Linked DNA regions of Xenopus tropicalis. The protein of the gene in region 2 purifies or fractionates together with the protein of the main gene of each other region. This does not show direct contact. Links are inferred from orthologs where the notes say so. Each region holds a gene or a part of one and is shown on either strand. Other genes may lie near its edges. The genes, in order: lpar2, slc9a3r2, plcb3, kctd5 and prkd1.

Evidence for each region.
Region 1: the proteins of slc9a3r2 (region 2) and lpar2 purify together in Homo sapiens (affinity purification with western blotting; 3 studies listed by BioGRID and IntAct, with this or other methods). This does not show direct contact. The link is inferred for Xenopus tropicalis from reciprocal best matches to the Homo sapiens genes NHERF2 and LPAR2.
Region 3: the proteins of slc9a3r2 (region 2) and plcb3 purify together in Homo sapiens (co-immunoprecipitation; 3 studies listed by BioGRID and IntAct, with this or other methods). This does not show direct contact. The link is inferred for Xenopus tropicalis from reciprocal best matches to the Homo sapiens genes NHERF2 and PLCB3.
Region 4: the proteins of slc9a3r2 (region 2) and kctd5 purify together in Homo sapiens (affinity purification with mass spectrometry; 3 studies listed by BioGRID and IntAct, with this or other methods). This does not show direct contact. The link is inferred for Xenopus tropicalis from reciprocal best matches to the Homo sapiens genes NHERF2 and KCTD5.
Region 5: the proteins of slc9a3r2 (region 2) and prkd1 purify together in Homo sapiens (affinity purification with mass spectrometry; 3 studies listed by BioGRID and IntAct, with this or other methods). This does not show direct contact. The link is inferred for Xenopus tropicalis from reciprocal best matches to the Homo sapiens genes NHERF2 and PRKD1.

What each region holds. Positions count from the first base shown.
Region 1 is NC_030679.2:135,175,733-135,180,384, reverse strand, and holds the start of lpar2 (lysophosphatidic acid receptor 2), read right to left. Parts: upstream 3,169-4,652; 5' UTR 3,045-3,168; intron 2,596-3,044; exon of another isoform or gene 2,469-2,595; intron 1-2,468. UniProt on the Homo sapiens protein: Receptor for lysophosphatidic acid (LPA), a mediator of diverse cellular activities. Seems to be coupled to the G(i)/G(o), G(12)/G(13), and G(q) families of heteromeric G proteins. Plays a key role in phospholipase C-beta (PLC-beta) signaling pathway.
Region 2 is NC_030685.2:18,845,964-18,850,105, forward strand, and holds part of slc9a3r2 (Na(+)/H(+) exchange regulatory cofactor NHE-RF2), read left to right. Parts: intron 1-1,435; coding exon 1,436-1,675; intron 1,676-4,142.
Region 3 is NC_030680.2:35,416,528-35,421,104, forward strand, and holds the start of plcb3 (1-phosphatidylinositol 4,5-bisphosphate phosphodiesterase beta-3), read right to left. Parts: upstream 3,065-4,577; 5' UTR 2,747-3,064; coding exon 2,648-2,746; intron 1-2,647. UniProt on the Homo sapiens protein: Catalyzes the production of the second messenger molecules diacylglycerol (DAG) and inositol 1,4,5-trisphosphate (IP3).
Region 4 is NC_030685.2:28,815,917-28,820,058, forward strand, and holds part of kctd5 (BTB/POZ domain-containing protein KCTD5), read right to left. Parts: intron 1,864-4,142; coding exon 1,738-1,863; intron 1-1,737. UniProt on the Homo sapiens protein: Its interaction with CUL3 suggests that it may act as a substrate adapter in some E3 ligase complex. Does not affect the function of Kv channel Kv2.1/KCNB1, Kv1.2/KCNA2, Kv4.2/KCND2 and Kv3.4/KCNC4.
Region 5 is NC_030684.2:112,884,839-112,888,980, forward strand, and holds part of prkd1 (serine/threonine-protein kinase D1), read right to left. Parts: intron 1,924-4,142; coding exon 1,635-1,923; intron 1,515-1,634; coding exon 1,343-1,514; intron 746-1,342; coding exon 622-745; intron 1-621.

The DNA.
Region 1 (4,652 bases), on a different chromosome or scaffold from region 2:
ATAACCTGTTGGGCGACAAAACGTCCCATGTATTCTTGCCCTTAGTGACAAGGGCTTTTGTCCAGCAAATTGTGTTAAGTGACTCAAAAGACCTGGCCCCTACCAATGCAAAACACACAGACGTAAAAGCATTCTCAATACACAAAAGCAACACACGGATTCCTGTGTGTACTTTCCCTCTGTCATTTTGCATTAAATTCTGTTTTTTCAAGATAATGTCCACTTGTTTGCTTCCTTAACTCATTCATTCTTCTAATTAACTCTATTAAGGGCCCTGTGCCCTTTACAATAGAATACCAGTTTCTTGCAGATTGCCCTAATCTGAGCAGCCTCAGATAAAGAAGAAAAAAAAAATACGTCTGGAAACCAAGACATAAAATCTGATTACACTTTTTTTGTTTAACAGGAAGAAAGAACATTTATATGCAATAGATAAAGATTAGAATTTTTTGAACATGAACAAAAAGAAAATGCATATTAACAGACATTCTCACACAGGCACTGTGGCGCAATTCAGCCCCCTGCCCACACAAACACAGCAGAACCTATAAAATTCTGCCTGGTGATACAGTGTAAAACAGAAACAAAAGTCAAATTTTAATCATTTTTCTCACGTTCCGTAAAGTTTCACATTAGAACCAGAGAATGTCAGGACTTGTTCGGCCTTAGGCCCCCGGCACAGCTATATTTGGCCCCATGATGTGTCTATTCACATACAAGCTGCACCCTGGTTTGATGTGAGCAGCGTCACACATTTTATATTATTTCTTTATGAATGACTGATGTGGGAACTGGGTGGCCACATGGGATCCTGGGCTCAACCCTACTTGTATGTGACCAACCACATTAGCCAGATCTGGCTGAAGTTACCTGTTGCACCTTCTAATGCCAATGCACTTAACAGCCACACTGACTTGACTGATTTCCAACTTTTCCAACTATTACCCAAATACAGGACCAACACTGGGTTTTAGCAAATAGAAAAATCCAACATCCAAATCAGGGCCACTCCAAACAATAGCTTTTCATTTACAGCTGGACTACAACTCCCAGAACCCCCTTGAAACCACTGCCTGGGAGTTTTAGCAACTGCTGCAGATCCTGCAATAGTTTAAATTAGGTGTACAGGAGCCCTGCAGGCACCATTCTTCTGAACGTTACTACTTACATTTAAATGGTCAGTCATTACCAACCCTGCTGTGCTGCCTAGCAGGGCCGGAACTAGGGGTAGGCAGAAGATTTAGGGGCGCCAGGCAGGAGCCTCTCCTGCCTACCCCTAGTGCTAATTTGTCATTAGCGGCGGAGGCAATGACCGATCTAACCGCCGGAGTTGGCCGACCGGGTTGCCTAGGGCGCCCGGTCGGCTTGGCCCGCCCCTGCTGCCTAGTATAGTCTGGCACAGGGAAGCAGGCTGTACTGGTCAGTATGGGTGGTGTGGTTTAGATTTATATTATATATAAATATAACTTGTCCTTTAAAGCACATGAATGTATTGCAGCTTGCGAACACCTGATACCTAGCTGAGCCGTCTATCATTAATATGAATGGAAACCACACATTCCTCTCTTCTCAATGACAGGAGGCACAGAGGTAGCAGATGTTTCTCCACAACTGAAACAGACTGGCAGGGAAACATTACACGTGCCATAGTCCATAAGATTCAGAAAACCCTAAAATTCACAGAGTATTCCCCCCCCCCACAACACAGATCTGCTCAGAATGCCCCAGGATGCGGGCAGTAATCCCATCTACCCTGGCTGGACATGATCAGTCCATGTTGATTAGCCAGTTTATATTAGTTGTATACACCCTGCATATCTAACAAAGACAAATGTTGTGTATAGACGTTTGTCTGTAGGTTTTGGCACATGAAACTGAGGAAGTGGTAAAGAAACTGTATTTATAGGGCTATAGGTTTGTTTCTGCCTGCTGTGCACATTTCTAAGCCTAGTCTCGAACTGTATATCTCATTGCGTGCTGCCGCACAGCTCTGCACTTTCACTAAAACTCAAAGCCCCTTCCAATGCTGGCTGTGCAACAGATTCACTATATATATAATACTTGTAACCAAAAGTGCACTGTACAGGGAATGATGTACCCCCTGCTGTAAAATATAAGGATACTAGAAGTCACTAAGGAATCCCATCACAAGACGTGACCCCCAAGGTGACTCCTAACATGCTCATATTTTACAATAGAAGGTGCACTTTTATAATATACCATTTTCAATGATGAGGCATGTGACATCACTGATATAGCACTGACAACTGATGACCTCACTAAGTACCATTTAAAAGGATATGTTAGCTATTGCTGTGCCAATGATAAAAAACAGACAAGGAGACAAACAAAAAATCAATATCTAGATATAAAAGGTTTGTGTAAAGCTATTCTATTGCCATTAGGGTTGTACATTGCTGAACTACACTCTGCACATGGAATATTCATACAGAGCCCCAGGCACTTACCTATGTAGATGGAGCTGGTCAGGTCTGGCTCACCCTGGTTACAGTATGGCCAGCAGCATTGATACTACTTGTTTTCTCTTTTGTTTCCGTTCTGCTGCGCCTTGCGATTTCCCTTCAACAAGCCCTGCCATACTGATTCTTCTCAGCCTCCCCCCCCACCACCTCAGAGGGACACTCAGGATACTGCCCCCCTTATATGATTCTGCCCCCACTCAATTCATCCCTATATATATATATATATATATATATATATATACTGCCCCCCTTATATGATTCTGCCCCCACTCAATTCATCCCTATATATATATATATATATATATACTGCCCCCCTTATATGATTCTGCCCCCACTCAATTCATCCCTATATATATATATATATATATATATATATACTGCCCCCCTTATATGATTCTGCCCCAACTCAATTCATCCCTATATATTATACTGCCCCCCTCTGTCGCTAGGAATGCACAGTGCCCCTCCGCATTTACATTCCGGGATCCCGGGCGAAACTCTCCGCAGTTTCTGTTCAGTAAGTCCCGCACCCCTGTCCCAGGGCTCCCAATGGCTCCTTACCTCCAATGTTACAGCGCAGCCTCCTGTCCCCTCTCTCCCTCCATCAGAGAGCGCAACATGGGCCCCTTGGGAGAGACACAGCCTTTCCCCTGAGACAAGTCCCAGCCCGCCTAACCCGCTCCGGCAGCCAAATACCAGGCACAGTGAGAGAGGGTTTGGGGGCGGGGGGCGGAGCAAAGCTGCCACAGCCAAACACCTCTGCGCAAGGTGTAACAGTGGGGAGGGGCCTCGGTAAGGTGTGTCACCAGGGGGCGTGGCCTTGCTGCACGACTGGCTCTCAAACGGCTTAGCGTTAACTCCTTTTTCCTCAGGACGCAGTAGAGAGGAGCCAAGTTATTCATTCCCTTCAACAGTGTCGGACTGGGACCCCAGGAGCCCACCAAAAAACCTTAGGCAATAGGCCAACTTTTTAAACTATCTTTTCTGCTTTCTAACTTCTTTATTCTCCTAGTTTCTTACTTACGCTTATACTGTAGTGTCACCCACTGTGACCTACAGCACTTACATTTGCCTATTTGTGTCTGTTAGTTACCCTCCCATATAGATTGTAAGCTCTACGGGGCGGGGACCTCCTTCCTCTTGTGTCTTTGACTCTTTTAACTTATTGCAACTGTATCTTGTATTTATCTGTATTTATTGTTATACTTTGTATTTATCTATTATTATCTTAATAACCCCCTGTTTGTATTAATGTATTCTACTGTACAGCGCTGCGTACATAAGTAGCGGTTTATAAATAAAGATATACATACATACATACTAGCTATTCTTCCATCTATTTCTCCTCTTCCTTCCCATTCAGAAATAGGGAATGAGCATGAACAGGGTCGGACTGGGCCGCCGGGACACCGGGAAAAATCCCGGTGGGCCCCGGCCCTAGTGGGCCCCAGCGGCCCAGTCCGACCTTTGCCGGCGCTCCCCGCTACTGACTGTTCCTCCCCGACGCGTTCAATTTATACGCGCTCGGGGAGGACGTCAGGCGGGGGCCCTTCGGGGGGGTTAGGGGGGACCTTGGGGGGGTTAGGGGACGCGGCTGGGGCACCTGCAGGGCCCCTGGGGCGGGAGCCCCGGTGGGCCCTGCACCCCCCAGTCCGACCCTGAGCATGAAACAGGCCAAATGGTCAGGAGCAGGAGGGCCCACTTACACCTGCGCCCACGGGGCATTTTCCTGGTATCCTGGTGGCCCAGTCCGACTTCAATAAACATTTTCTGCCCACAGGCAGGGTCGGACGGGGGGGTGACGGGTCAGACGGGGGGGTGCAGGTGCCCCCCCCATTGGCCTCGGCCCCTAACCTCTCCTGCCTAAGGTACCCCCTAACCCCCCGCAGGGTCCCCCCTGAGCGCGCGTAAGTTTAACTCGCCAAGGGAGGAATGGTCGGGCAGGGGGAGCGCCTGCAAGCGTCAGGTCTGGCCACCGGGGCCCACTATGTACTGTGGGGGCACAGAAATTAGTGTGCACAACCAGGAGCCTGAGAGTTTAAGGAGACCCTTTAATAAATAAATTTTAAAAAAAAGTTACAGTATGGACTAAGGAGACCCTTTAATAAATAAAAAAAAAAAAAAAGTTACAGTATGGACTAAAATTCACCAGATCCTTTACTGCAAAAC
Region 2 (4,142 bases):
AAATAATACCAATATCTGTTTCATGAGATGCTGCCATTTGAATTCTTGAGTCACCTCACTGGATCAGGCCACGCCCCCTGCCTATTATTGACAGTTGTCCTTGCGTACATCAAGGCATCAAATAACAACAATACAAAAAGGCACAGGCGCTTTAGGCGACGCATGCCTATACTTCCTATTATGTGGGTGTATCTTAGCTTTCACTAATTCAATTAACTTGTGGTGCACAAAATGATGATTAAGTAGAGGCTGTTCATCCAGAACAGTGCTGTCCAACTTCTGTTGTACTGAGGGCCGGAATTTTTCCGACCTACGTGGTGGAGGGCCGATAATGGAAGCCAGTTTTGACCACTCCCCTTTTTGAAACCGCACCCACTTGAAACCACACCCATGTTATCACATGACCATACCCATATTAATGGTTGTAGTACAGCAAAAACCTGCCATACTCTGCCTGCCCTACCCTGCCTGTGTGTGCCATACTCTGCCTGCCCTACCCTGCCTTTGTGTGTGCCATACTCTGCCTTCCCTACCCTGCCTGCGTGTGCCATACTTTCACTGTGTGTGCCATTCTTGGCCTGTGTGTGCCATACTCTGCCTGCCCTACTCTGCCTGTGTGTGCCATACTCTGCCTTCCCTACCCTGCCTGTGTGTGCCATACTCTGCTTGCCCTACTCTGCCTGTGTGGGCCATACTCTGCCTGCCCTACTCTGCCTGTGTGTGCCATACTCTGCCTTCCCTACCCTGCCTGTGTGTGCCATACTCTGCTTGCCCTATGCTCACACACAGGCAGCCTACAGTGACACAATGCTGGCACTGCTCCTACAGTCTGCACAATAACTATATATTAAAAAACTTTTTAATTGCAGTACCACCTCAGTATATGTTCTTTTTGTAGTATGCAGGGATTATTTGTGGGTTTCTACTGCTCCTGAGGTGTGAAGAAGTGAACAATGGGAGTGATTACAGCCTGAGCCTGAGGTGTGAACACTGCAGGGGGTAGAACAATGCAGAGATTAAAAGGTGTGAACAACACAGGGGATTACATATTTAAACAATACAGCCTGATTACAGCCTGAATCTGAGGTGAGAACCATGCAGGGGGGGGGCAGTTAATCACAGTACTGATACCATTTAAAGCTTACACAAAGGTAAGCCATCAAAGCAGCCAGACAGGTGGGGGGCCACACAGAGGGGGGTCACGGGCCGCATGCGGCCCGCGGGCCGCCAGTTGGACAGCACTGATCCAGAAGGTTTGGGGCAGTTGAACATTCTAAATTACCTTGGGTTAAGGGAGTGCCATAAATAAACTTTAACTACCCAGAAGCTGTAAATGTATCCAGCACCCAGTTTGGTGCATATTTTGCATAGTGTCAGTTCCCCTTTAAGAGCTGCTCCGTGAGTATCTGACTTCTGCTTTCTCTCCCCGCGGCAGGTGGTTCAGCGCATTAAAGCAATAGAAAACGAAACGCGGTTGCTGGTGGTGGACAGAGAAACTGATGAGTACCTGAAAAAATCCCCACCCGGCTCACCTACTGAATCCCAACCCAACTCCAGCGCCCCCTCAACTCCGACTCCAGGGAGCAACAACAACGGCGAAGTATGGAAAACAAAGGAGGACACAAGCCATGAAGATCAGCTACACAATAACCACAGCACGGAGAACGGGAAACAGGTAGGTGAATTGTTATGGGGCACTGCCATTTTGGCTCTAAGCCATTGGTGGCATACAACTCCCAGCATTCTTATCAGGCCATGACGTTTAGGGCACACTAGAATTTGAATCAGTTGGCTATCCCAGGGACAATCATATTATATTAGGGGCCCTGTACAGACCCCACAGGAGACCTGGTGTGGTATTTCCTTGACTGAATTTTCAAACTTGCGGACTCCATCTTAAGTGGACAAACTAGCTGCTAATTTTAGCCAATGTAAGGCTACCTAAAATGCCGGCCACACAGAGAATGAGATGGTGTGACATTTTATAACCCATCAATGCTTTGTTTATGGATCTGACCACTGTTGAGTGACCACCATGCATTCTGATTGGATCAGAACAGGTTGCACCGTGCTGACACTGATGTCAGCTGATGCATTCGGAAGGCCATCAACAAATTGTAGTTGCCACCCACTTCCTGTGCTATCTTATTGGCTAATGAGCATAGCAGTACAGCAGTCCTATTCATTTTTGTGGTGACATTACACTCAAAATGAATGATTGACTCTGTAAAGGAACCAAATGATTGGATTGGGAGCTTCCAGCTTGTGACCAAGGCCTGAGGGGCCAAAGTGCGCCCCCATAGTACAGAGATCAAAACACACATATGGGGTCGCATATGCCAGATCAGTCGCAGTGCTGTATATTTTGGCAAGTCCTCATCATTTCAGTTGACTTTGTTTACTTTTCTCATTGTTCTGAAATCGTATAGTGGAACATCTGGCTAAAGGGGCCCCCTTTAACCCCTTCCTGGGAAGCAAATGTTTGTACCAATGGGGTAGCTGCAGCCGCTCTCTCTATCCCCGCTTTGGCATGTTGTTTGGAATATCCCAAGTGACCTGGAACATTTTATTTTGCTGGAGTCTGTTTCCTCTCACCAACCCCCCCAACCCTTCCCGCCGCCCCTTTTCCTGAATCACAGGACCACTCGGCCGGCTGCACTCATGTTGTTAAGGGTTGTCTGCGGAGCTCTTTATTAAATACTCTGCCTAGGGCTGTAAAATGTTACAGTGACAGAAAGCAGATCTGGGGAGGTGTGGGGGCAATGTAGGAGCATGTGACTCGGTCCCAGATGATGATTAAAAAAAAAAAGATCTTTAAAGTTTATTTTACTTGTTTTTTTTTCCTATATATCTTAGAAAGTGTATTTTTCCTTTTTGTAATTGGAGTCCTGGGGCAGGTTGGGTACCCAAGCATTACCTGCAAGAAAAGCAGGTACCCTGCGGGTTGCAGGTTGGATTCAGATGTGGATATAAATGGGGGTCGGATTTTGGATCTTATCCATATTTTTTGTCTGATATTATATTATTTATATTTTACCCCTTTTATATTGTGCAAAAACTGCAACTGTCTGCAGGGATGGACTATTGCATTGTGTGTAAACACATGGCAAGAAATGCCTGTCATGAAACCACACATGATACAGACGATAAAGGTGTTGCAAACTTTACAGCTTCTTGAGATTTCTGTAGCCGATAGCATCCCACCAACCACATGCTGCTCATAATCCGCTTTTTCCAATGCGGTTCCAAAATTTTGAAAACCTTCTAATCCTACACACGGATAAAAGCAGATAAGGCCGACCAGTTGGATCAGCCGGTGGGATGCAGTGTTTCTGTGTGTTTTCCCCTAATCCTCCCGCCTCCGTGGAGAACGGCATTACATCTGTTTGTGGCTATTGCTAAGCCGGCGTGTCTGAAGCAGTGATTATGTAGGCAAGGGGGGTTTAGAAGGTCCCAAAATTCCTTTACAGGCTTTTAAATTTTAATTTAGTGGAATTATTAATTCATTTACCAGTTTTGCAATCAGGCTGGTAGGTTTAAAGACTAAGGCTAATTTACTTAGGGGGGTTTGACCACCAGGGAATGGCTGTTTAAAATTCACCAACGTCAGTTTTTTCCATAAAGATATATGGGAAACACTGTTAAAGGTGAACTAAAAAATTGTACATGGCTAGAAATACTTTTATATACTGAACTTAATGTACCAGCCCAGAGGTTCAGCAGCCCTATAACAGTAATGATCAAAAGTTGTCCCCAGCAGCTCCCCATGTTCGATCTTGTTAGGCCATCTTTTAAATGTCAGTGGCACTGCACGTACTCAGTGTGCTCTGGACTGCTGTTGGGAAGCTCAGCTTAGGGGTCATGGGAAAGCACCAAAACATTAGCAGTGAGGTTACATCTGTCATGGAAGCTGATGCTACAGGGCTGATTATTAAATTCCACCTGAATTAATTACTAATTTGCCTTGTCTTGGGCTACTGTATGTGTGTGTGTATGTGTGTCACTTGAACTAAAGGTCCAGCATGCTTGATAAAGGGGTTGTTTTGCCTCGAAACGTTGCACTACCGCAATAAAGTTTGGAGTAAGGGCTTGTCCCGTTTGTAGCCTTGAGTGCCATTGCATTATTTGACAATTCTGGACTT
Region 3 (4,577 bases), on a different chromosome or scaffold from region 2:
AATCTTGCCTCAAACTGGGTTTGAACCAATTTTAAAAAAAAACAAAAAACCCTGAAAAGTCTGAAAGCCATCGCTAGCTAGGAATTAGGTTATACTATACAAGAACCTACATGGGCTACTTGAAAAAACTGTTGTTTCAACAGAATAAAATGTATTTACTTATGCCTGAAGGATATTTGTAAAACGGTGTATAGCAGTACAGTTTGTAATGTAGTGAGGTGTGAGGAAAAATGTTCTGTAAAACGACAGTCACTCTTTGTACTGGGGAATTTATTTTTCTTCTAGTACTCCTTTGATTGTCTGTACCTTCTTTAGAGCAAAGACTGAAAAGTGGCCATTGAGTCGCAATTGAGGTGGATTTCTGTTTGTGAGTATGGAAAAAGTATTTCACACCAGTTTAGCCACCACTTTAACTCCAAAAAAAGGTTCCCTCTACTTCTGAGAATTGCCCCTTAGCATCTCAACAAGTATTGTCTTGGAGCTATCCAGCAGTAAGTTACCAATTTATTTCACCTAAAAATGTATAGCTATTTAGAGGTCTATTTACTAATCTTTGAGGTGAAGAAAAAAAAAGCAATTGCATAAAAAAAGCGCACAAATGTTTTTTCTTGACTTTGCACACAAAAGAGAATCACATTGTTTCATTAATTTTCAATAAAGCTGACAAATTGTTAGTTGTTAGAGATGATTCCTAGTGACTTCTATAGAAACTCAGCTTTTACTTACCCAATTTTATATTTATATATATATTTATTTTTATATTTATATATTTGCATCAAGATTGTTCTCGAACTGAGAAAAAAAATGCCCACTTGATGTTTGATAAATAACCCCCTTAGTATTACCCTACTGATACCCATCTATAATCAAGTGCTGACCTGGAGATACCCAGCAATATGATACACAGCAGTCTCTAAACCACTACTGCACTGATACCCGGCAGCTTATAAACAAAGTTCTACCTGACAGATATACACAATCCTCTTAAACAGAAGTGCCCTCCAGATACCAGGCAGCCTATAGATACTCAGACTCCTCTGCAGAAGTACTGCCTCTGGACAAGTACTACCTTGTAGATACCCAGCCCCCTGTGGCCAAGCACTACCTTGTAGATACCCAGCCCCTGTGGCCAAGCACTACCTTGTAGATACCCAGACCCCTGTGGCCAAATACAGCCTGTAGATACCCAGAACACTCTGGAAAAGCACTGCCCTGTAGATACAAAGAACACTCTGGACAAGTACTGCCTTGTAGATACCACCGAAAACTCTGGACAAGTACTGTCTTGTAGATACCCAGAGCACTTTGTCAAGTACTGCCTGTAGATACCCAAAACACTCCGGACAAGTAATGCCCTGTAGATACCCAGAATACTCTGGACAAGTACTGCCTTGTAGATACCCAGAATACTCCGGACAAGTACTGCCCTGTAGATACCCAGAATACTCTGGACAAGTACTGCCTTGTAGATACCCAGAATACTCCGGACAAGTACTGCCCTGTAGATACCCAGAATACTCTGGACAAGTACTGCCTTGTAGATACCCAGAATACTCCGGACAAGTACTGCCCTGTAGATACCCAGAATACTCTGGACAAGTACTGCCTTGTAGATACCCAAAACACTCCGGACAAGTAATGCCCTGTAGATACCCAGAATACTCTGGACAAGTACTGCCTTGTAGATACCCAGAATACTCCGGACAAGTACTGCCCTGTAGATACCCAGAATACTCCGGACAAGTACTGCCCTGTAGATACCCAGAATACTCCGGACAAGTACTGCCTTGTAGATACCCAGAATACTCCGGACAAGTACTGCCCTGTAGATACCCAGAATACTCCGGACAAGTACTGCCCTGTAGATACCCAGAATACCCTGGACAAGTACTGCCCTGTAGATACCCAGAATACTCTGGACAAGTACTGCCCTGTAGATACCCAGAATACTCTGGACAAGTACTGCCCTGTAGATACCCAGAATACTCTGGACAAGTACTGCCTTGTAGATCCCAAGAACACCCTGTACAAGTACTGCAACCCCCTCTGAGCAAGTATTACCTAGGAAATACCCCAGTACTGCCCTGATACCCAGCAGCCTCTAAGCAAGTACTACATTGATACCCAGGAGCCATTGAACAAGATTCGCCTGGCAGATACCCACACCCCTCTGAAACAGTGCTATCCTCTAGATACCTGACAGCATGTGAATTATACTGTTTGCAGGTAACCAGGTACCAAGTTGTACTCAGCAGCCTTTGTACAAACACTGCCCAACACAACCCTTTGGACTTGTATTTGCCAACAGATACCCAAAGAATTTCCCAGCAGATACCCTGAACCCCAATAAATATTTTCATATTCAGCAGCTTCTGAACATGTATCAGCCAGCAGATACCCAGAAGCCCCTAGGTTAAGTTACGCGATCAGCAAGACCCTCTAGGCAAATTCTGCCCAGTCTCTAGACATGTTTTACCCAGCAGGCACTGCAAGCACTCTCTTACAAAATCCCACAGAGCTCTAAGAAATCTAGAATGCCGGCGCCCATCTCTTGTCAGTGGGAGTCACTGAGCCGTGTATCCCCAGCAGCCGCCAGTACACAGTAAGTAGCCCCCTCTCCAGTTTAGAACTTTTCCCCTCGTCTCACCTCATCCCACTTGATGAACTTGCTCCCTTTTATAAGAGTCTCCGGCACTTTGACTGGTTCCAGCTGAAGAGAGTGAACCCCTGGCCGTGCCCCCGCCATGTTTGGGGAACAGGGCAGGGGGCAACTAGGGGGGCAAAATAACGAGGAAGAGGAGGAGGCAGCAGCGAGAGAGAAGCAGGGACTGACTGAGGGGGTGGAGAGAAACTAGGAGAGTGAGAAGGGGAGGGCAGTGAGGGAGGAGAGACTGAATGGGCGGCTAAATGAGGGGAAGGGAGGGATAGTAAAGCGGGATGAGGAGAACGGAGTAAGGAGCGCCCAGGGCTGTAAGGAAGAAACGCCCAGCTACCCCCTCCCGAAATGAACTTGTCAGCCCCTAACCGAGTCCCGTTACATACAGCTCCTAGGCGCTGAGTTTTTGCGCCTCTCTACCGAGTCACCTCTCCTTATCGCACCTGTATAAAGCCTAGTGACTGGGGCGGCATCCAGCCCTGTCACATTCCTCACATACCATCTCCTTACCTACGCACTCCCGGGACACGCCCCCCGCCCTAGCCCCACACCTACCAACCTATATTGGCAATGTAATGTGTACCCCCCTCTGTCACCCTGCATGGTACCTACCAACCTATATTGGCAATGTAATGTGTACCCCCCTCTGTCACCCTGCATGGTACCTACCAACCTATATTGGCAATGTAATGTGTACCCCCCTCTGTCACCCTGCATGGTACCTACAAACCTATATTGGCAATGTAATGTGTACCCCTCTGTCACCCTGCATGGTGCCTACCAACCTATATTGGCAATGTAATGTGTACCCCTCTGTCACCCTGCATGGTACCTACCAACCTATATTGGCAATGTAATGTGTACCCCTCTGTCACCCTGCATGGTACCTACCAACCTATATTGGCAATGTAATGTGTACCCCCTCTGTCACCCTGCATGGTACCTACCAACCTATATTGGCAATATAATGTGTACCCCCTCTGTCACCCTGCATGGTACCTACCAACCTATATTGGCAATATAATGTGTACCCCCTCTGTCACCCTGCATGGTACCTACCAACCTATATTGGCAATATAATGTGTACCCCTCTGTCACCCTGCATGGTACCTACCAACCTATATTGGCAATATAATGTGTACCCCTCTGTCACCCTGCATGGTACCTATCAACCTATATTGGCAATATAATGTGTACCCCTCTGTCACCCTGCATGGTACCTACCAACCTATATTGGCAATATAATGTGTACCCCTCTGTCACCCTGCATGGTACCTACCAACCTATATTGGCAATGTAATGTGTACCCCTCTGTCACCCTGCATGGTACCTACCAACCTATATTGGCAATGCAAGGTAATGTGTACCCCTCTGTCACCCTGCATGGTACCTACCAACCTATATTGGCAATGCAAGGTAATGTGTACCCCTCTGTCACCCTGCATGGTACCTACCAACCTATATTGGCAATATAATGTGTACCCCTCTGTCACCCTGCATGGTACCTACTAACCTATATTGGCAATGTAATGTGTACCCCTCTGTCACCCTGCATGGTACCTACCAACCTATATTGGCAATGTTATGTGTACCCCTCTGTCACCCTGCATGGTACCTACCAACCTATATTGGCAATATAATGTGTACCCCCTCTGTCACCCTGCATGGTACCTACCAACCTATATTGGCAATATAATGTGTACCCCCTCTGTCACCCTGCATGGTACCTACCAACCTATATTGGCAATATAATGTGTACCCCCTCTGTCACCCTGCATGGTACCTACCAACCTATATTGGCAATGTAATGTGTACCCCCTCTGTCACCCTGCATGGTACCTACCAACCTATATTGGCAATGCAAGGTAATGTGTACCCCTCTGTCACCCTTCATGGTACCTACCAACCTATATTGGCAATG
Region 4 (4,142 bases), about 10 Mb from region 2:
GTGTAGATACCCTGTTTTAGGAGAATACAGGTTTAACCTGAAAGTTGAATTCATGTTTCTAAAAATAATTTCCTTTTTCTCTGTGATGAGTGGTACCTTGTACTTAATGATAGTTTATCCTTATTGGTGGCAAAACAATCCTATTGGGTTTATTTAATGTGTAAGTGATTTTTTGTAATTAGATTTATGGAGATCCAAATTATGAAATGATCCCTTATCCAAAAAACTGTCCCATACCTGGATAACAGGTCCCATACCTGTAATACTAAAGATTAGTGCCACTGGCAGGGCCTTTGATAAGCTGGCTATACACAGAGTCACATGTACATTACAGGCCATAATCCTATAAACTGGCTGTTGCCCAAACAGATTAGACAGACAGGATCTTTAGCAGCTAAACCGTATTTTGCATTTCAGAATAAGGGTGATCAGTTAAGGAAAACTGATTTAGGAACAAAATACTGACACATGCCCCACCATACACTTTAATGATAATCTCTGAGCTGTGAATGCACTGGTGACTATCTCTGAAAGCTCAATTATTGCCTGAACCTCACCTGTATAGCTAAAAATTGTGAAGGAATTGTGCAGTTGTACGCTGGTTAATGTAACACATGGCAGATTCTCGACTTACAGATAAACACAGGTTGAGAATACACCCTTACGCTTGAATCAGCGCTTTTCTGTGTCTGCACCCAGAGCCACTGTGTTGGCCTAGGTGCATGCATGCATACAGAATCAATTTCACTGTGAAATGCATACTAATGCATTTCAGAGTCAAAATCCAGGCCGAGAATCTGCCACGTGTGGCATTAACCTAAGGACAAGTGCACACAGGGCTTATTGTCAGCCTGCAGATAAATGCAGGCCAACAATACACCCTACACTTCCCCAAAAAATCATTGTTGTGCCTGCACTCTGAAGCATTTAATCAGATATCCACCAACAAATACAAGCGTTTGTGAATATCAGCTGCATGTGCCTGCACCTGGGCAGATTCAATGCTTCTGGGGTTCAGGCACAACTTGAAGGACACATGCCAAATAATTATCCATGCAACTTCAGGCATCAGGGCAGCAGGTACACTTATTAAACACTCCCAGAGTTAAGTGGATTTTTGTTGGGTGTGGAGGCTCCTTACAATCCTGAAGAATGTACAGGTCAGACAGGGAGGCCTGTACAAACAAATTATCTGGAGACTTCCACTCCAAAGCTTAAAACCTTAATGTTCATTCTTTCTGGGCTAGGACTTATCTGTTAGTAAAGCATATTTTAATGCTGTACAAGCAAAGGCTACTAAACCCTTCACACTGTATTCATTCCAGGAAATATAAGTGCGTGCCTACACTGGAGGTTAACAATCCACTTAAAATAGTGTAAATACCAGTGAGTTTCAAAATATTTTTCTGGTTCTGGTATTATTCTTATTAAAATTATTTATATCCATAACTTACTTTTTTTTAAAAAAAACATTAAAACTAGTATCTGCATTTGCAACAACTAGTAACAATCGGTAATAGGGAAACTAAAAGGCAAAGTCACACGTAGCATAGATCTGCTTTTCTCAGACCTTGCTGTAACAATTAACACTTGAATGGAGCACATCTGCAAAGCAAAAATGTAACAAGGCAAAAGGAAGGGGCATGTTTCAGATTTCCTGTGTGCAGGACAGTATTTACATATTCTAAAAATCATTTAAAAAAAAAAAAAAAAATATCCACATGTCAGAAAACATACCTTTGCTTTTTCGCTTGGCTCGCTAGTTGTGCCATATTGGGTGTTTTGTAACTCTTTCGACACAACACACAAAAACTCTGCCTGATCTTCGTTTCCATAGTTGTAGGAGGAGCCAATACTGACCAACTTAAAAAGGAGGGAGAAAATATTAGGATAATGGACAGGAGGATGTACCCCAACAGATTATATACTGTATCAGAAGGGACATATTAAAAGAATCTTGGCAAACTGGCATACATCAGTAAACACAGCTCCCTTATACTTTTAAACCAGAGCAACCATTTTGTGACACGTGTTCCCTGACTAATCACTTGACAGGAAAAAATGTAACCTAGCATGTATTCATGCCCTTATGTAATATGTATTATGTAATAAAAAGACACTAAGGGGCGTATTTATTATGCTGTGTAAAACTAATTCACCGAAAAAAACGGAGTAAAAAGCTGTGTAAAATAAATGGAAAAGATCGCCATCTGAACGCCGGATATTAAGCAGTTATTTTCCATAAGTTTCGGTGGAAGAAAAAAACGCATAAAACAATTACGCCGATTTTACACGGTGATGTGTGGCGAATAATAAATATGCCCCTAAGTTTACCCAGGAGCAATAACCCCTAGCAACCAATCAGCAGGCAGCATTAACTGGTCACCTGTTGAAAAGCAAACATCTTATTGGTTGCTATGGGTTACTGCTCCTGGGCAAACTTAGTGCCCAGTTTACAAAAACTTAAATTTAAATCCTTCTGCTTGCTTTTCAACATTCTGAAAACTAGACAGAAATCCACCGAACCAAATAGCTTTCATTTTATGTGAAAGTGGCTTATAATAATGGCAATTTATGACATATACTTAGAGACTTTACAGTGGTTGTGTGTGTGCAGGCCAGTACATGCCAACACCCGGAAGAAAAATGACTCTGTGCACGTCTGCAGGACAAAGATATGCGCTATAGCTGTCAGCAGAATGACTTGCCAAACCATCAGTAATTCTAGTAACTGTGTGAGGCCAGACTACCAATGTGGGGTCTACTTGTAGTGCAGTTATTGCATCAAGGTCACTAAACTACACACTACATTATAAATTTAACTTCACTGCAAGGAAAGACATTGTTGTACTTAAGTAAATAAAAAAAGCCATATAAAGAATTGTGACCTTATGGAACTGTAAGCACACACTGGTAGAACATGTGTGCTCAATGTAGCTTCTGATCGAACAGCTCCATATTCATTGTATGAGATTTTTTTACAAAATGTTCTCAACATTGTAATGCCACCACATCAGTTTCATTTCTAAGTACTTTGAGCATCCATGGCTGAAGGTGCTATATCAAGACAGGACACCAACGTTCTGACTGCAGTGTAATATTAAAGCACTGCTGAACGTAAAGCTTTTGAAAAAGGGTTAACTTGCCCTCTTGCATATAACAATACTCCTCCTTTATAGAGAGATGCGGAGAAGACAGAGCTGCTGTGTTTATAGCAGAACTTAATGAAATATGCTGCCAATGTAGGTTTCAATGAGACTTGCCGGCTGGACAGCACACACAATACAGCACTAAGCATTGTCCGGCCAGCAATGCGCTCTGAAAGCAACTTTGGCAGATTGCTCCATTAACTTCTGCTATAAACAAACAGCATCCTTGTCCTCTCAGCATCTCCTTTCTGCACAACAGCATAACTCTTTCCTTCAAAACCCTGTCAGCCTCAGCACCACTAGAATTGGTTGGTTGACAACCACCACCATGTTGTTTTGCTGAAAAATTCTCAACTGCAAAGGTTTGCAAAACACATTGAAGTCAATGGACCTTATAAAGAATATAAACTGTGGGGCTTGCTTATCAACACTGGGTAGCAACCCATACTAACCAATTATTTTTGCTTCCATTCCCCTACCCGAGTTGGTATGTATGGGTTACTGCCCAGTGCTAGCAAATAAGCCTCAATGTGTAGTTTGTGCAGGACACAATTATGTATTGTTGGACACTCCTCTAACCCCCTTTTTGAAATGACCATAAAATCTTACGGATGATCCCACCTGTGGAACCCAACATATTCAAACAACCTACAATGCCTGAGAGAGGTGTTTACATGGTTGCAATACATTTCTGTGCAGTTAATGGTCACAAAAGAATCTTTAGCCTTTTAAACAACTGCACTTTGGGCGAGAATAGCAGGTCCATTTAGAGGCATCACCTCAATGTGCTAATTAGGCTAGCAGTGGTACAGTACTCAAATGGAACTGTAATGAAGGCTCTGCAGCACCAATCAATACATAAATGCCTCAGAGACAAGTGCTTGTTCTTGTTGAAATTTAATGCCTGCGCCTCAGCACTAAAATGAAAGTAAAACAAATCATAGGCTGAGCAATGTTACCCTGTAAGTTAAGATAAGCAGACATGACTTGTAT
Region 5 (4,142 bases), on a different chromosome or scaffold from region 2:
ATCAGAATTATAATAGGGGCTTGGGTAGATACAGTGATAGATAACATCAGTGTGCCGATGTGGCCCTCACCAGAAAGGATTTTTTTTTTTACATTTTTGCAACTCGTTGGCGATGCTTTGACAGCATCAAAGGGATAGTTCACCTTTAATCTTTAGCATAATGAACACAATGCATCAAGTATGTGAAAGGCAGTAATACCGATCAATTAAGACTCATAATAATGTTTTGCCTTGTGACACATTGGTCACAAGAGGCCACTATCTCTACAGCGTTCATGGAGAATTTTGCAGCATAGCAGGTTTTGTACATATAAATAAACAAACATATGCATGTAAAAATGATAATGGGCAGACTATCCCATCCCAACATTTTTAGTGAACATATATTGTGTGAATGTAACCAGAGACATAAAGGCATAAAAGATCTGTATATTAAAGCAATTAGAAAAAGGGTAAACCACCCATGCAGTGGCTGGTGCCAAGGCAGTGCCTGGCCATATAAGAAGACAAGAGGAGGACTCTCATTTAATTTTGCTCCACTGGCCACAACATGTAACCCTCAGTCCTCCTGTGCAGAATGGAACGAGTACAGAGAAAATGGCACCCTCTCTCTTTTTTTACCATGGGATCTTTGCTGGTGTAATGTACCATCCAGCCTTCTTTCATAACACTGCTGCTTTTCCTCTTTGTGTGTTTGACCGACTGGACTACTCTCATCAATGGAATGTTGTTACTGGCTGAAGGGCTGAAAGAAAATAGATAAACTGTAAAATAAGACATAAAGCTAAGCATGCATTGCTAACATTAGTCTTTACAAATGCCATTAGTGTAAATATTTTGCTTAAAATCTTCATCCGTCAATGAATTTCTCTTTGATAGAGTGCTTCTTAATTAGAGAAGGCTTCTCAAATATTCCTACTGCTAGCTGATCTCCTGAATCATTATTCTCCAATAATCTTTAGTCAATGTGTCCATAAGTAAATGTTCTGGTCAAAGGACTTACTATGACCAGTACTGTTTTGGCTATACATGTGCATACTACAAAGCTTATGTTTTCCTAATTTGTAATCTTCAAACGCCTCAAATGATTTCAGGACTGACTCCACTAACTTTACTTTTTTATGCTAGACTGTCAAGCTCTCCTTGGAGGTCAAACCTCTGGTGAGGGCTCCCTTTCTTTCACCAAAAGGTTACAGATATTATAAGCCATTGGGGAATCAGCCCTTTAGATTGTTACACAATTGACCTTCAAGCTGGGCTTTCAGTTTTACAGTACTGTAAAACCCTTTCCTGGTGATATCTTCACGTATCTTGATGAACGTACTTGCTGCCTTAAAGTTACCTGATTGTCCGGTCCGATGCATCTTGATCCTGGTCTGGTTCCTGCATTTCTCCATTTTCACTACGGCAGCCTGATATGGAACCCTCTGAGTCTGTTGTGGGGGATTCATCCATGTCCTCAGGTCTACTTTCATTATCATCGCTCCCCTCCTCCATCATTACATCAGATAGGTCTTAAAAACAAAATTAAGGCAGACATGAAATATTAAGTACAATCACCTCAGCACAATATGCATGAAACAACACATTCACAGAGAACAAAGTAAAGGGAAAAAATAGCACGCCCAATTTACCTCCATTAATTGCGTCCTCCCCCAGGCAGTTGTGAGGCACTCTTGACGCGCAGCGCTTGTGACAATTGAACTTGCAGTCCTTGCACTGCAATCCCTGCCGAAAGAGGCCCTTTAGCAGTTTCTTGCAGTGCTGGCAAACAGTCGGCCGGGTGTACGAGTGGATAACAAATGTGTGAGGCACTTTCACCTTTGTCAGGAAGAACTTATCCAGTTTAATCGGGCGGCCAATATGTAACTGTGAGCCGGATCTACTATGTCGACCCAAAAAGGATTCTGATGGAGATTTTTGCTGTGGATTTAACACAGAAAGGTCAGAAAAGTGGTAGTACAATTCATTCCGTCCTAACTATACTGACAATATACCTTGTTTATCAATATAGTTACATAATACAGTTTATAATTAAGGTTTATTTTACTCCATAAAGGTTTAATTCTGAAATAAAGTATTCGGAAATTTAATGCTTTCCTCAAAGATGCGAATAGGAATACCAACAGGTTTTCTTGAAGGTGACAAGAATGACACAAGTAAAAGAATTTAGCACAAGTGCTTTACCCTCAAACTAAGCAAATCAAAACGGTCTTCACATGTAAAAACGGTACATGGGGTAATTTCATCACTGGTGTAATTGAGCCAGCACAGAAGCGAACAATAAACCACCCCTGACAATTCCCATTTGCTTTAATAGTAATTGCCTAACAGGGATCCCCAATGTTATTTTTACTTGTGAGCTACACTCAGATGTAAAAAATATTGGTGAACCACACAAAAATAAAAAATATTCTTTTGGGGATACCAAATAAGGGCTATTGGCTATTTGGTAGCCCTGTATGGGCTGCTGATCTGCAGGAGACTCTGCTTAGGGTAAAATGGCTTGTCTGAGCTTCCAAAACTTGTCTCCAAGCCAAAAACTAAATTATGGGCACCTACTTTGTGGCCACTGGGCGCAACATCAAAGTGAGAGGTGAGCAACATGTTACTCACAAGCCACTGGTTGGGAATCACTGCCCTAGAGCATCTTTCTCCTTGTGCAGTCAGGTGTTTTCCATTCAAATGGAATAGGGGGCAACAGGGGTGATTTTGTAAAGAGAAACCCTATAAGCCATCAACCTCATGTGGTTTATGAAGAAATTAAACAACCAGGACCTCCAAAAATATACAGGGAGGTTAACTGGATCCTGTTAAAACTGAACATAGTGTGTGAATGAATGTAAGAGAACCCTTAGACTGTAAGCTCCAGTGGGGCAGGGGGACCGAAGTAAATGATGTGTAATCTCTCTAAAGCTCCAGAATGCATCAGCACTATATAAATAAAAGAAGCTAATCATAAAAATCAAACTTGCTCATGTAGACCAACTCACATTCTAAGCACTCGCTAGCAGGCACATATTATAAATCAGTTTATACTGATATCCATGGGTCATGCCTTTGCCAAATAAGCCGAAACCTATCTGCTGGGACATGGAGCTGCAGTTGGAATACTTGTGGCAATGAGACAAAAGATAATTCCCAGAGTAAACAGACAGATGATATATACTGGAGGCCACATCATTGTTTCTGCTGTTACTATTATTGGTTTTACCCTTACATTTTCCCCACAAAGTGAAATAGGAACCGTAGCTAACGTGAAGGACAAAACAGGCAGTAAGATTGCTGGGTATTTTTTTTCCTGTGGCAGTCGAGTAATAAATGCTTTGATGATTCATGTTTAAGACCACGTGTGCATAAAAAGCTGCCTCATGGTGGCAGAATTTCCCATGTAGTTGCTGGTATAACACTGCCCTAGGCACCCCGGAGTGCTAACCCTAATAAAAACACTGCACTTCCCCACAGTCCCTCACACGGTGGCTCTGCTGGGTTGGAATAGAGGACCCTGGAGCCTTAAAACTTGATACTAAGTCTGAGCTGTGGGCCATTTCCAAGGGATTTCTGTTCCAAGCTGAGCTCTAGCTGGAATGGCTCCAGGAAATGATTGCTAAAACCAGATTACATGATGGAAACTGCAGCTGATGGGAAGCTCAGTGCAAAGGTGCCATAACCCATTCAGTGCTGAGAAAGTGCGGAACGAATCTACTGATTGGCCACAAGCAGTGAAGCACGATTTGAGTGAATAAACTATAATACTATCAAAATTAAAGTAAGGGGTTTATTTGATTAATTAAGCCTTACACGCCAGATATGTTTTAAATGATTATTATGCAAACTGTATAAAGCAGGGGTTAAGAAAGTGAGTGCAATGCAAAAAGACAGGAGGGGTAAGGGGTGCAGAAGTGTGCACATCTGTCTGGCAGCTAAGGATGAGAGAACTTTGTGCATCCAGGAAACAGAAAGGATGCGGTGTGGAGATGCGTGAGGTGACAGCGTGCAGTATGGTGCTCAGCCAGAAGCAGCAGCTAGATACAAGCCAAACCAAACATCACTATGGCCTGGATTCCTGCCTTTTCAACACAACTTTCCATGCCTCCGCATGCACACCGACATAAACGAACACTGAATCCTGGGGAAATCAT